Linked DNA regions of Arabidopsis thaliana. The protein of the gene in region 1 interacts with the protein of each later gene in a pairwise test. Each region holds a gene or a part of one and is shown in the gene's direction. Other genes may lie near its edges.

Region 1 (7,530 bases):
TGTTATTTCTACATTTTTTATGTAGATTCTGGATGTGGCTGTTTCCTTAGCCAAAGTTGCGGATATAGACAGGACTCTACAAAATGAAGTTGCAGCGACAGATGGGTTCAAGGAAGGCATGAGACTGCTGGAATCTTTGAAACTGGACTCTGAAGATTCTGCTCTCGAGCAACGGGTAAGATTCTTGCACGACTCCCTTTTTATTTGTATCTTATCCAAAGCTGCTGAATGTCAGTAAAACTTTATCTGACAAATGTAATTTTAACATGCATGCAGCGGCTCTCTGTACTGGAGTTCCTTAAGAAGCAAGTAGAAACCGATGCTGAAACTGCACTCTAAACCGATGCAGGCTTAAGTACGTATATAGAAATTATACCTAAGTTCTCGTCTGTGGCATTTTGCTGAATAAAGAAAGCAAAAATGTTGTATTTGCGCTCAAGGGACAAAGAAACAGAGTTGTCTGTATGTTGTGAATTGTGATGGTTTTCAACTTTCAATGCACTAATCTTGCAATGTTAAATTGTTAAGCATGATTGTACTCTATGCACTTGTGAAATTTAAAAATTAAGATATCTTAAGCGGCTACAGCTGTGAACTGCTTTCTATTTCTTTTCAGTGCAAAATGAGAAAGAACCCAACAGAGATTGAGAGATGATGTGAAAGGAAAATGCAAGTATTTGCAAACTCAATCAGCTACAAAGAGTATAAATTGCGACAACAAAAATTTGTCTTTGTTGTTTTGTTGAATGAAGTTTTTCTTGTAACTACTCTTACAAAAATAAAAACATAAACATAGTCAATCCCTAAAGCCGATGATACTATGCAAACGACAAAGATATACTAACTCCAACGCACGAATCAACAAAATTAGGTCACTTTTACGAAAATAAATCTACATAATCAACAAAATTAGGTCAACTTCGTTCTATTTGTAAAGCTTTTTTCAGTATTTTTTTCTTTAATATGTTCACGTCTTTTAACTGTTCATATAATTACGTAACTAAATCTTTAACTTCGTATGTAAAACTATGTTTTTACGTATTAGATATAGAGAAATTGTTAAGAATGTTTTTCCAAAAATATGTTTTTTTAGTACTATCCTCCCATGTAATCATTTTTATTGATATTATCTTTTAATTATTAATGACTATTTTGCTTCTATTTGAAAATACTTAAATCAACAAAATGAAAAAATGATTTTTTCCGCCAAAAAATGTACTTCACATCAACTGCTATGAAACAATGTACTGATTTTATCAATTCACAAAAATTCTTGCCTCTAATCAATCGTGATTCAAGCAATCATGCAAAATCTTGAGTAACCAAGCCTAAAAAACCTAAAAACCTAATCAATTCTTAAAAGATACGGAAATTAAAGTCAAAGATTACTATCAACTCTCGCCTCTTATCCATCTTAATTAGTTCTTCAAAGATTTCACACGAGTAACCTAAAATCCATTGAAATTAAGTCAACTATATACCTCTCTTCGCGGTTTATAGTTGAAATCTGGAGGCATCGCCAAGTAGCCGCCAGCTTCGCCGATTTTACGTTGAAGATCAGCGTTTTCTTCCAATATGAAATTTCTGGCGTAAAGCGATAAGTGCACTTTTCCGGCATAGATTGAGTTGAACTGAACAAGAATAGTACGACGACAGATCAGATTTTTGAGGATAAAGAAACCATTGTCGAGAATTTGAGAAAAAGATGAAAGTCGAGAAATGATTATTGATTATCTGAGGATTTATAAAATATATAAAAAATATTTAAAGTTCAAATTTTATTAATCCTACTAATATTAGTTTAGAAGTACATTTAAAAAATATGAACTAATATCTATCATCTAAAAGAGTATAAATTACAACAACAAACGAAATGTGTTGAAAGAGGCTGTTTTTCCGGGAAATAAGCATTTGAAGTTTAGTTTCAGAAAAAGGAGTTAAAAGAAGAGCAAAGTAAAAAAATCACATATATCCAAAACGGTGTCGTTCCATTCTCAAACGTGCTTTATCTTCTTCTTTACACACTCTCGCCTCCGGACGACGGAGACAGTCAGATATAAATTAGGGTTTCAGATTTTTTAGATTTTATCTCTTCAATTCGAGCCAGTGAATTGCCGCCTCCTCCTCCTCCTCTTCTTCCCTCAAGTTAGTTACTTTCGTCTTGAGTTTTCTAAATTCTCTATCTATAAATTGTGATATCAACTTGTGAGAATTTCGAAAAAATTGTATGTGCGTCTTCTTTGGAGCTTGAGAATTTAACGAGAGTATTGATTTTTTACCTACAGTACATAACCAAAGCAATGAAATTCTACTTGTATCCTGTAATGGCTGACTAAATCAACTGCGAATCGTGGTTCGTCACTTTCTTAATTAACTATTTTTTTTTCGATCTTTGTCTAATTTCAATAATTTATCCAAATCCTGATACTTGTTGTTCCAGTTTTGTGACATGGTTACTGTTGCTAGGCTATTGAACCTCACTCTTGTTGTTCCCGAGATTGACAAAACATCCTTCTTTGCTGATTCAAGGTATTGTAACTCCTTTTCTTAAACATTTTCTGTTTCTCTTACGTTCTTAAACCCTATTGCAAAACGAAACCTAGAAGAATGCTTCAGATTACTAGAAGAGCTTAACGGTGAGAAAGAGAAACCCATTAATTCCATTTCAAGTAGTGCTAGACCAAGTAATAGCGTCGTCTTTGTTAGTGTTGTTCACCGTAGAGAAAACCAAATTTGAATCACTTCTGATGATATTGTTGCCTACATCTGTCTGATTTTGATTTCGTTTAATTAGGTTTTGTGTTCTGTCACCATCTCTTAGACCCCTTCTACGTTACGCTTTCCTGAGAGAAGTAAAGGTCTGGTTGTGCAGTGAACATGGGGGCTCTTGCTCAAGTTGTTCCGTGGATACCCGAAGACGACCTGCTGCTAAAGAATGCTGTCGAGGTGAGCTCCCATTTCATTGAGTTTGGTTACATTTCAGTTTTCATTATTTTACTACCGGAAATGGATTATGTTGGATTGAGCCATGGGTTTGATCTCAATATTTGTCTCAATTTCCTGTCCTTTCACGCGCTTTATGTAGTTCAATGATCATGTAGTTTTCTTATTCTACCATGCTTGTTTGCAGAGCTGTATCAATTTTGCTTAAATTGAAGTAGTTGTCTAGTTGGAACATTAATGACTATCAGTTCTGTCGCTCATGATGTTTCTAGGCTTTCTTCTTCATAGTTGCTTGTATCTATAGTTGATTTTGAGGGGATTGGAGAGTACGACATATCCTTTGAGGCAGGTTATTATCAGTAATTTTCTTTCCTAAAAGAGATGCCTATCTAGTTGATTCTATCATCTATTAATATTGTTTTGGTTGCATTTTTTTCCTTTTCATGTCTTGTGATAACTTGAATTTTCGGGACAAAAGGTTGGTTGCAGATATCAAAATTTAGTTGAATAACCATGTCAGCTTTTTGTTTGATCCTGTTAACATCTTAAGCCAGTGTTATATGCGGTATAGTATAGTATTATGGGAAACAAGTTACACAATCTTGATGTGGCAAGGTATAATTGTTGCTCTAGAACAAATTATACCATTTCGCGAGGAACATAATATATTGCTGTGTGATCACTGATGATCTGTATGTATCATGCTTCTCTCCACGGGGAAAAGACTGTCAAATATTTTTTCTTAAATTTGGTTTTCTGTTCAGTTATGAGAACATAATATGATTGAAAAAATATCCTTTTGTCTTTTTACAGATGGCTCATCAATCACCACAAGATAGATAATTATGTTCATTGCTTCTCTCATATAGCATTTTATATATCAAGCTAGGCTAGCCAAAAAGTTTCTCTACTAAATTAGTGCTTCTGTATGTATGTATTGCGTGTTTCTTCTTTCAGCTTGTCTGGTAATCTTGCAATTAAGTGAACCAGAATCCTTAATTTATTTGCAGGCTGGTGCTTCTTTGGAATCGCTTGCTAAAGGTGCTGTGCAGTTTTCTAGAAGATTTTCTATTAGAGAATTGCAAGATCGATGGCATGCACTGCTTTATGATCCAGTAGTTTCTGTAGAGGCGGCTTTTCGGATGGCTGAGCTTGAACGTACTAACCCTAATTTTCCTACTAAGTTTGGTAGAACTGGATATTCAAAAGAAAACAAAAGTTCATCTAGGAAGAGGAATGCTGAAAGGCTCAGAAGTACTTATCATTCCTTGCGGAAGAAATTTAGGACTGAGCCATTCAATTCCTTGGATCTAGGTTTCCTCGTTCCACCAAATGATAGCCATTTCATGGATAATGGTGATGCAACACATCTTGGTCTTGAGGACTCTCACATGGATATTATCCACAACGCGTTTCCAGAAATCTTGGCTGAAGGTGGTTGCGTGACAACTCATGTTCTGCCAGAAGATAATTTACAGGGAGACATTCCTTACGTAGAAGGAGAAAATCTCACATTCACTGAACACGCAGGTCTATCAGTATGTGATGTGGTTCATCAAGATTCCGAGCAGAAACTAGAGAATACTGCTCACGAGGCAAAAAACACAATGGCTAGCACTGATTTCCTGGCACAGCTTTCAACTTCTCTTTTCGAAGAAGACATGGAACCGTTCATGGAAGTAGATGGCAAAGAAGTTGACAAGTCATATTATGATGGTCTTAGCTCACTGTTGGTGAACTCTACAAATGATACAAACCGCGAGGCTTTTCCTAACCCCACCGAGCAAGAACCTTCCATTGCACCAACTCATCCAGGAGAGGCAACCCTGGATGATCATGTGATGCTTGAGCTAGATGGTACAATCGCTTTAGATCCTCATCCTGAGATTGTTGGGGGTGTAATCTGCTGTTTATTAAACGAAGAGGATCCTGATATTCCGTGTAATGATGACATTTTCCTGTCCAACAACTCCCGTCCGATGTCAGTTTCTTCTTTAGCCCGGCGGAACTTTAAGGATACCAATAGTCCAATAACTACATGTGTAAGAGACGTCTCCGCCAGTAAGGAAAAAAGTGAGGGATATTCACTCCAGGCTCAAAAGAAAAAACCAGGACGTTTACAGGGGTCTACTCAAGGAAAGCCAGAGATGGGCCAACCAAGTAAAGGTAGCAAATTCAGGGCATCGACTAGTACTGAGTTAAAGAATACTGTAGCTCCTGGTGGTTCTTCCTCTGCACAGGCTTGCTCTAATACTCTACTTTCTACTGGTACCGGTGCAAAAGATGGAAAGAAAGAAACTGCTACTGGAACACTCTTTGTCGGATCTGATGGCCATGGCAACCACCCAGAGAAGGATAGTGAAAATTGTAAAGAGAAAAATGTTGTACCACCTGTTAATGAATCGCCACATGCTAAAGATACTGATGATGGCTTGATAGAGATTACAGTCCCTGAGCTGGAGATCACCCGTGCAGAAGCAGAAGCAGAAGCAGAAGCGCATGTTTGTGAGAGTGATGAGGACTTACCCAATTATTCTGACATTGAGGCTATGGTAACTCTTGACTTCCATCTTTATTCTTGTGCTATGGTTCCATGACACGTAAACACCTAATCCATAACACTCTTTTTTATTTCAGATACTTGACATGGACTTGGAACCTGATGATCAAGATAATTTTGATCTCGAAGGTAGTTGAGCGTCCCTTCTCGTCCAGTGGAACTCATGTTTCTTTCTATCTATCTACATTTTTGGGAAAAGAAAGCTTTTAGTATGTGAATAGGAATGTATTTCGGCATTTGGCTCCTAAAAGTTATTACATGCTGCAGTGATGTGGGAAACCTTTTCTATGGGTAGCGTATGAGATGTTAGAAGAGGTTTAAGGCTTGTTTGTAAATCCCTAAAATGTTTTCACTTGCAGTCTCCAAGTATCAGAGCCAAGACATGAAAAGAACAATCATAAGACTTGAGCAGGCTGCTCATTCATATATGCAAAGAGCCATTGCTTCCCGTGGTGCATTCGCTGTTTTATATGGCAGATATTCAAAACACTATATCAAGAAGCCTGAGGTAATATTATCTTATTCGTTTAATATTCCTTGTATGATTTGATAAGCTTCTTAAGAATTATAGTAGCACTTGTTGATATCGGGGTTCTTTTTTCTTAACATAGGTTTTGGTGGGTAGATCAACAGAAGACCTCGCTGTGGACATTGATTTGGGAAGAGAAAAGCGGGGTAGCAAAATATCTCGACGACAGGTCGGTCAATAGTAGATACTTCTATTTGTATTTTAGGTCTTTAAGTTGTATGAGAAGCAGCAGCCCAGGATCTGTAATGGTTGTTGTGTATGTTTTTTTCCTTTTTGGGTTACTGAATGCAGGCGATCATACGGCTGGGTGATGACGGTTCGTTTCATATAAAAAACCTGGGGAAGTATTCAATCTCAGTAAATGAGAAGGAAGTAGATCCTGGACAGAGTTTAATCCTCAAATCCGATTGTCTAGTTGAGGTTTGATCCGGGATACTCTTTTATGATCATTACTTACGCTTCTAGGTCCGTACTTAAACCCGATATATGTGCGCGCAGATACGGGGAATGCCTTTTATATTTGAAACAAACCAAAGTTGCATGCAAGAGTACCTGAAGAGAAGAGGGAAAGTGAACTGAGACCAGATCAAGAGTGCGTGTTGTTTGTGTAGATGAATGATGCATCTCTTGTGTAATGTACCTTAGCCATAGGAACACGTCTTGTAGATCTTTTAATACATCTTTAGTTCCGCATCATGCATAGTTGACCCTGTTTTAAGGCGTTGAAATGAAAATACAAGTCTCTTGTATCTGAATTTGTGTTTTAAGCGAAGAATGATTGTTCTTGTGAAGTTGATACACAAGTTCTTTGGATATCCTATCAGTATAAAGGATAGGTTTCCATTTTCGTGACTCACTCACTGATTTCCATTGCTTGAAAATTGATGATGAACTAAGATCAATCCATGTTAGTTTCAAAACAACAGTAACTGTGGCCAACTTAGTTTTGAAACAACACTAACTGGTCGAAGCAAAAAGAAAAAAGAGTTTCATCATATATCTGATTTGATGGACTGTTTGGAGTTAGGACCAAACATTATCTACAAACAAAGACTTTTCTCCTAACTTGTGATTCCTTCTTAAACCCTAGGGGTAATATTCTATTTTCCAAGGATCTTTAGTTAAAGGCAAATCCGGGAAATTATTGTAATCATTTGGGGAAACATATAAAAGATTTGAGTTAGATGGAAGTGACGATTAATCCAAACATATATATCTCTTTCTTCTTATTTCCCAAATTAACAGACAAAAGTAGAATATTGGCTTTTAACACCAATATAAAAACTTGTTCACACCTAAACACTTTTGTTTACTTTAGGGTAAGTGTAAAAAGCCAACCAAATCCACCTGCACTGATTTGACGTTTACAAACGCCGTTAAGTTTGTCACCGTCTAAACAAAAACAAAGTAGAAGCTAACGGAGCTCCGTTAATAAATTGACGAAAAGCAAACCAAGTTTTTAGCTTTGGTCCCCCTCTTTTACCAAGTGACAATTGAT
Region 2 (3,591 bases), on another chromosome or scaffold:
TAGGAGAAAAGTTAGTACTACCATCTGTATATTTTCGTCCGCTAACTAAAAACAAAACAAAATCGAACTGAAAAAACCCCTAAAATAAGAAGAAATATAAACAAAGCGACAACGAAACATAACAAGAACGAGAAAGTACGTTGGGGGATTGAATTCAGCTCCAAAATAAGTGTGGTTCTATGAAATTTTTCAGACCTATTATTGATAACATTTCTAAGATGGATATGGACGTTTATACATATAATATGGTAGTCCCCTAGATTTTATAATAAAATTTGAAAAACGTTATTTAAAGAAATGTATACGGTGGCCATTTTTCAATCCAGATTAGAGAAGTAATTGTGGTCGTAGAATATTAATTCATGCATGTCCTCATAGTCAATTTTACAAAAAATCAGAAAGTTTAGTCTTTCACTGATGTGACCTGTGGAACATCATGATATTTTATGAATGTTAAATTTACCATTTTTTTGTTTTGACAGCTTATAAAATCAGATAGTTTATACGTTAACCAAAAGTGCCGTGTCAAATAATACGACTTCCGGCCCATAGATTTCTTTTATCTGGCTACAAATGAAAAATGTTTAGTTATACATATTTTATAGAGTCTTATGTCATGTTCTTATATTTTGTGGTACTTACTTATACACCAGGAAAAACAATCAGTGGTCACGAGAATACTTTAAAGTAACAGAGAGTTGATTGTGCTTAAGAATAAACTTAATTGGAAAAATTTGGTTTAGGGGAAGATTAGGTTGATATTTTGGTAAACGTCCCTTTTACCTGTTCGGTTTTATCTTCTCTTCATATTTAGTGGTGCAACGCAACTTCTGGAGATGAATAATTTATAGTCCTGTAACTTGTGGAGGCGAATAATAAATAATTCAGTCATATCATATGCATATATGAATATATGAGAAAACGATATTAATATAATTAATATCGTTGTAACTTGTAAGTGCGTCATATATAGTTGAAATCATACGAAAGATATCGCAATTAAGGATCAATCGAAGAGTAATATTATATTATTTCACACTTTTTCAAACCTGGTCTTACACATAACACATCTTATAAAACATGATATCATGCGTTTTACGTTAATTGGTTGATAATTTGATTCACTGAGTGGGTTTTACGTTTTCTTGTTGATTAAGATTTAGGGTATAAGCAAGTTAACTAAGCAACTATAGGGTACCAAAACTATCTTTGTAAAATAAACATATACAACAAATGTTTTGATAGAGTTCATGAAATTGTACAATGCATAAAATAAAACATTGAGAAGTTCTAACTGAGTGGTCACATATGTTAGCGGTCCATACATAATTTAATTCGTCATCATTAGAGAAACAATATTGCAAATATACTAAATCTGAGTTTGAGAAAAAATATAGCTTGTAGACACACTTCAGTACCTAGTGATCAAATTATCATATGACATATGATACTTATGTGAGTGTGACTATGTAATTCCTAGTTGAAAAAATACATTGATGATTGAAAATTACAGTCTAGAAATTATACCAACTAAATTACCTTGGTACAACTTATATAAGTAAGTAGTCCCTATAATAAGCCTACACTCTCTACAAAATAAGTAAAGGAGAAGCCTTGAAGGAGAACAACATGTCAATTCAAAATAGTCATGGAATCACTAAAAGGCCTTAAAGAAGTTCTTAAGGCCCAAAATAAATAGGTTTTTCGGAATTTGAAGTCCAGTTTTCTGCGAACCAGACTAGTTCTGCTCACTTTGGGTTCTTTCAGGTGGGCTTGAAAACTAGACAACTGAGTCAGACCAAGATCTTTTTTTCTTTTCAAATCAATATTGTTGTTGTTGTTGTTGTAAATCAATCTTTGTGTAGAAAAAAAAGTGAAAAAAATGATCTTGTTATGAAATTCAAAATCCATACAGTATTTGTTTTTCCTTCATGATTTTACTTTTTTACCAATTAACTTAATAATATTTTTGTCCGAAAACAGATTTTTCGAAATATTTGTTGGTCATCAATTTTGAATTCAAAACCGACTTGATGAGATTGATCAATAGTTCAATACTCATAATTACACACGGATTCTAAAAGATAAGAGAAACAGTAAGTCGGTTAATTTTGGATTAAGTAACGCACAAGCCAAAGCCTTCTCCTGATCGAATCATAAACCAAACAAATCTTTCTTTTAAAAGAAGCGGACACAAACCCTAACCACCAACCCTCTCCGTCGTCAAATTTCCCGGCGAAAGATGAAACGAATTGTTCGAATTTCATTCACAGACATGGAAGCAACCGATTCTTCAAGCAGCGAAGACGAGTCACCACCGTCATCACGCCGTCGAGGTAAGAAGCTAGTCAAGGAAATCGTAATCGATCATTCTGATCCCCCGGAGGTCGGAAAAACTCGGTTCAAAATCAGGATTCCGGCGAGTTTACTTGCTGCGAGGAATACGACGGCGAATAAGAAGAAGTTCCGTGGCGTGAGGCAGAGACCATGGGGGAAGTGGGCGGCTGAGATTAGATGTGGTAGAGTTAAAGGAAGACCTGAACGAATTTGGCTTGGAACTTTTGAAACAGCTGAAGAAGCTGCTCTTGCTTATGATAACGCTGCGATTCAGTTGATTGGACCTGATGCGCCGACTAATTTTGGCCGTCCTGATGTTGATTCTGCGGTGGTGAAAAAGCAAGATTCTGATGCTAGTGGTGGTGCTTCTGAAGAAGTTGTTTGATTTTCTTGTTTATAACTAACTTTGCAAGGTTACTTTTGTTTATCATCATCTTTTGTAAATTTGATCATCTTGCTCTTTGCTTTTTAACTTCTCTTGTACATGTTTGAATTATAAAAGTTCTAATTTTTCAATCCAGATTCTTGGTTTTCATAATTGTACATTTTGATCAGCATAACTATTGCTTAAAATTTCCATATTGGTTTTACCTTAATTGATCAAAAGTCTTTCTTTTGGATCGAAATTGAGACAATTGTTCTACCAACTGTACTTGAAAAACTGCTATATTTCTCTTGCAATTTGGTTATCTCCTGATCTCTTTTACTTATGATGACTCTGTTAGATGCTGCTTTCATGAGCGTTTCTTTGTTAAACTAACTTGGTCGGTCTTGTTGTCACTTTCACCAACTGAAAAGAATTAATATGTTTTAAGTATGTTAAATTGCTGTCAAGCTAGCTAGGGATGTTGTACCGACCAGCGGAACCGGTGGAGCAGTAACTGATTTATTAAAAAAGGTTGTGAAAAAACTGATCTGGTTAACTTTTTGAGCCGGTCCTCCTCAGTAGGACCATCTTTGTCAAAACTTTGATCAGACCGAAAAGCTGTGTTCAACCACATTAGCCTAAAGCTTAGCTCACAAAGACCATCAGAACAGAACAGGCTGAATCATCATCACATATTTTTTTAACAAAACCATATAACAAACTATTAGAACTGAATTCTCATAAAGCTATCAAAAACCCTCCTTTTTTCACAAACCTGGGTTGAATTAGTAGTAGGTTTAGCCACCTTATCTCTGAAACTTTCTTGATAACCTTAATTATACATCTTACAATGTTTAACCTATGGTTTTGTTTAACCTCAATTATAC

The links.
Region 2: the proteins of emb1967 (region 1) and CRF7 interact in a two-hybrid assay, tested with the Arabidopsis thaliana proteins (2 studies listed by BioGRID).

What each region holds. Positions count from the first base shown.
Region 1 is NC_003074.8:20,121,379-20,128,908, reverse strand, and holds emb1967 (Forkhead-associated (FHA) domain-containing protein), read left to right. Parts: upstream 1-1,927; 5' UTR 1,928-2,145; exon of another isoform or gene 2,146-2,285; 5' UTR 2,286-2,353; intron 2,354-2,379; exon of another isoform or gene 2,380-2,440; 5' UTR 2,441-2,529; intron 2,530-2,794; 5' UTR 2,795-2,877; coding exon 2,878-2,946; intron 2,947-3,953; coding exon 3,954-5,495; intron 5,496-5,580; coding exon 5,581-5,632; intron 5,633-5,862; coding exon 5,863-6,011; intron 6,012-6,114; coding exon 6,115-6,201; intron 6,202-6,323; coding exon 6,324-6,452; intron 6,453-6,530; coding exon 6,531-6,611; 3' UTR 6,612-6,892; downstream 6,893-7,530. Other genes in the region: AT3G54360 (zinc ion binding protein), read left to right, coding at 26-175, 277-339.
Region 2 is NC_003070.9:8,134,477-8,138,067, reverse strand, and holds CRF7 (Integrase-type DNA-binding superfamily protein), read left to right. Parts: upstream 1-2,033; 5' UTR 2,034-2,242; coding exon 2,243-2,722; 3' UTR 2,723-2,888; downstream 2,889-3,591.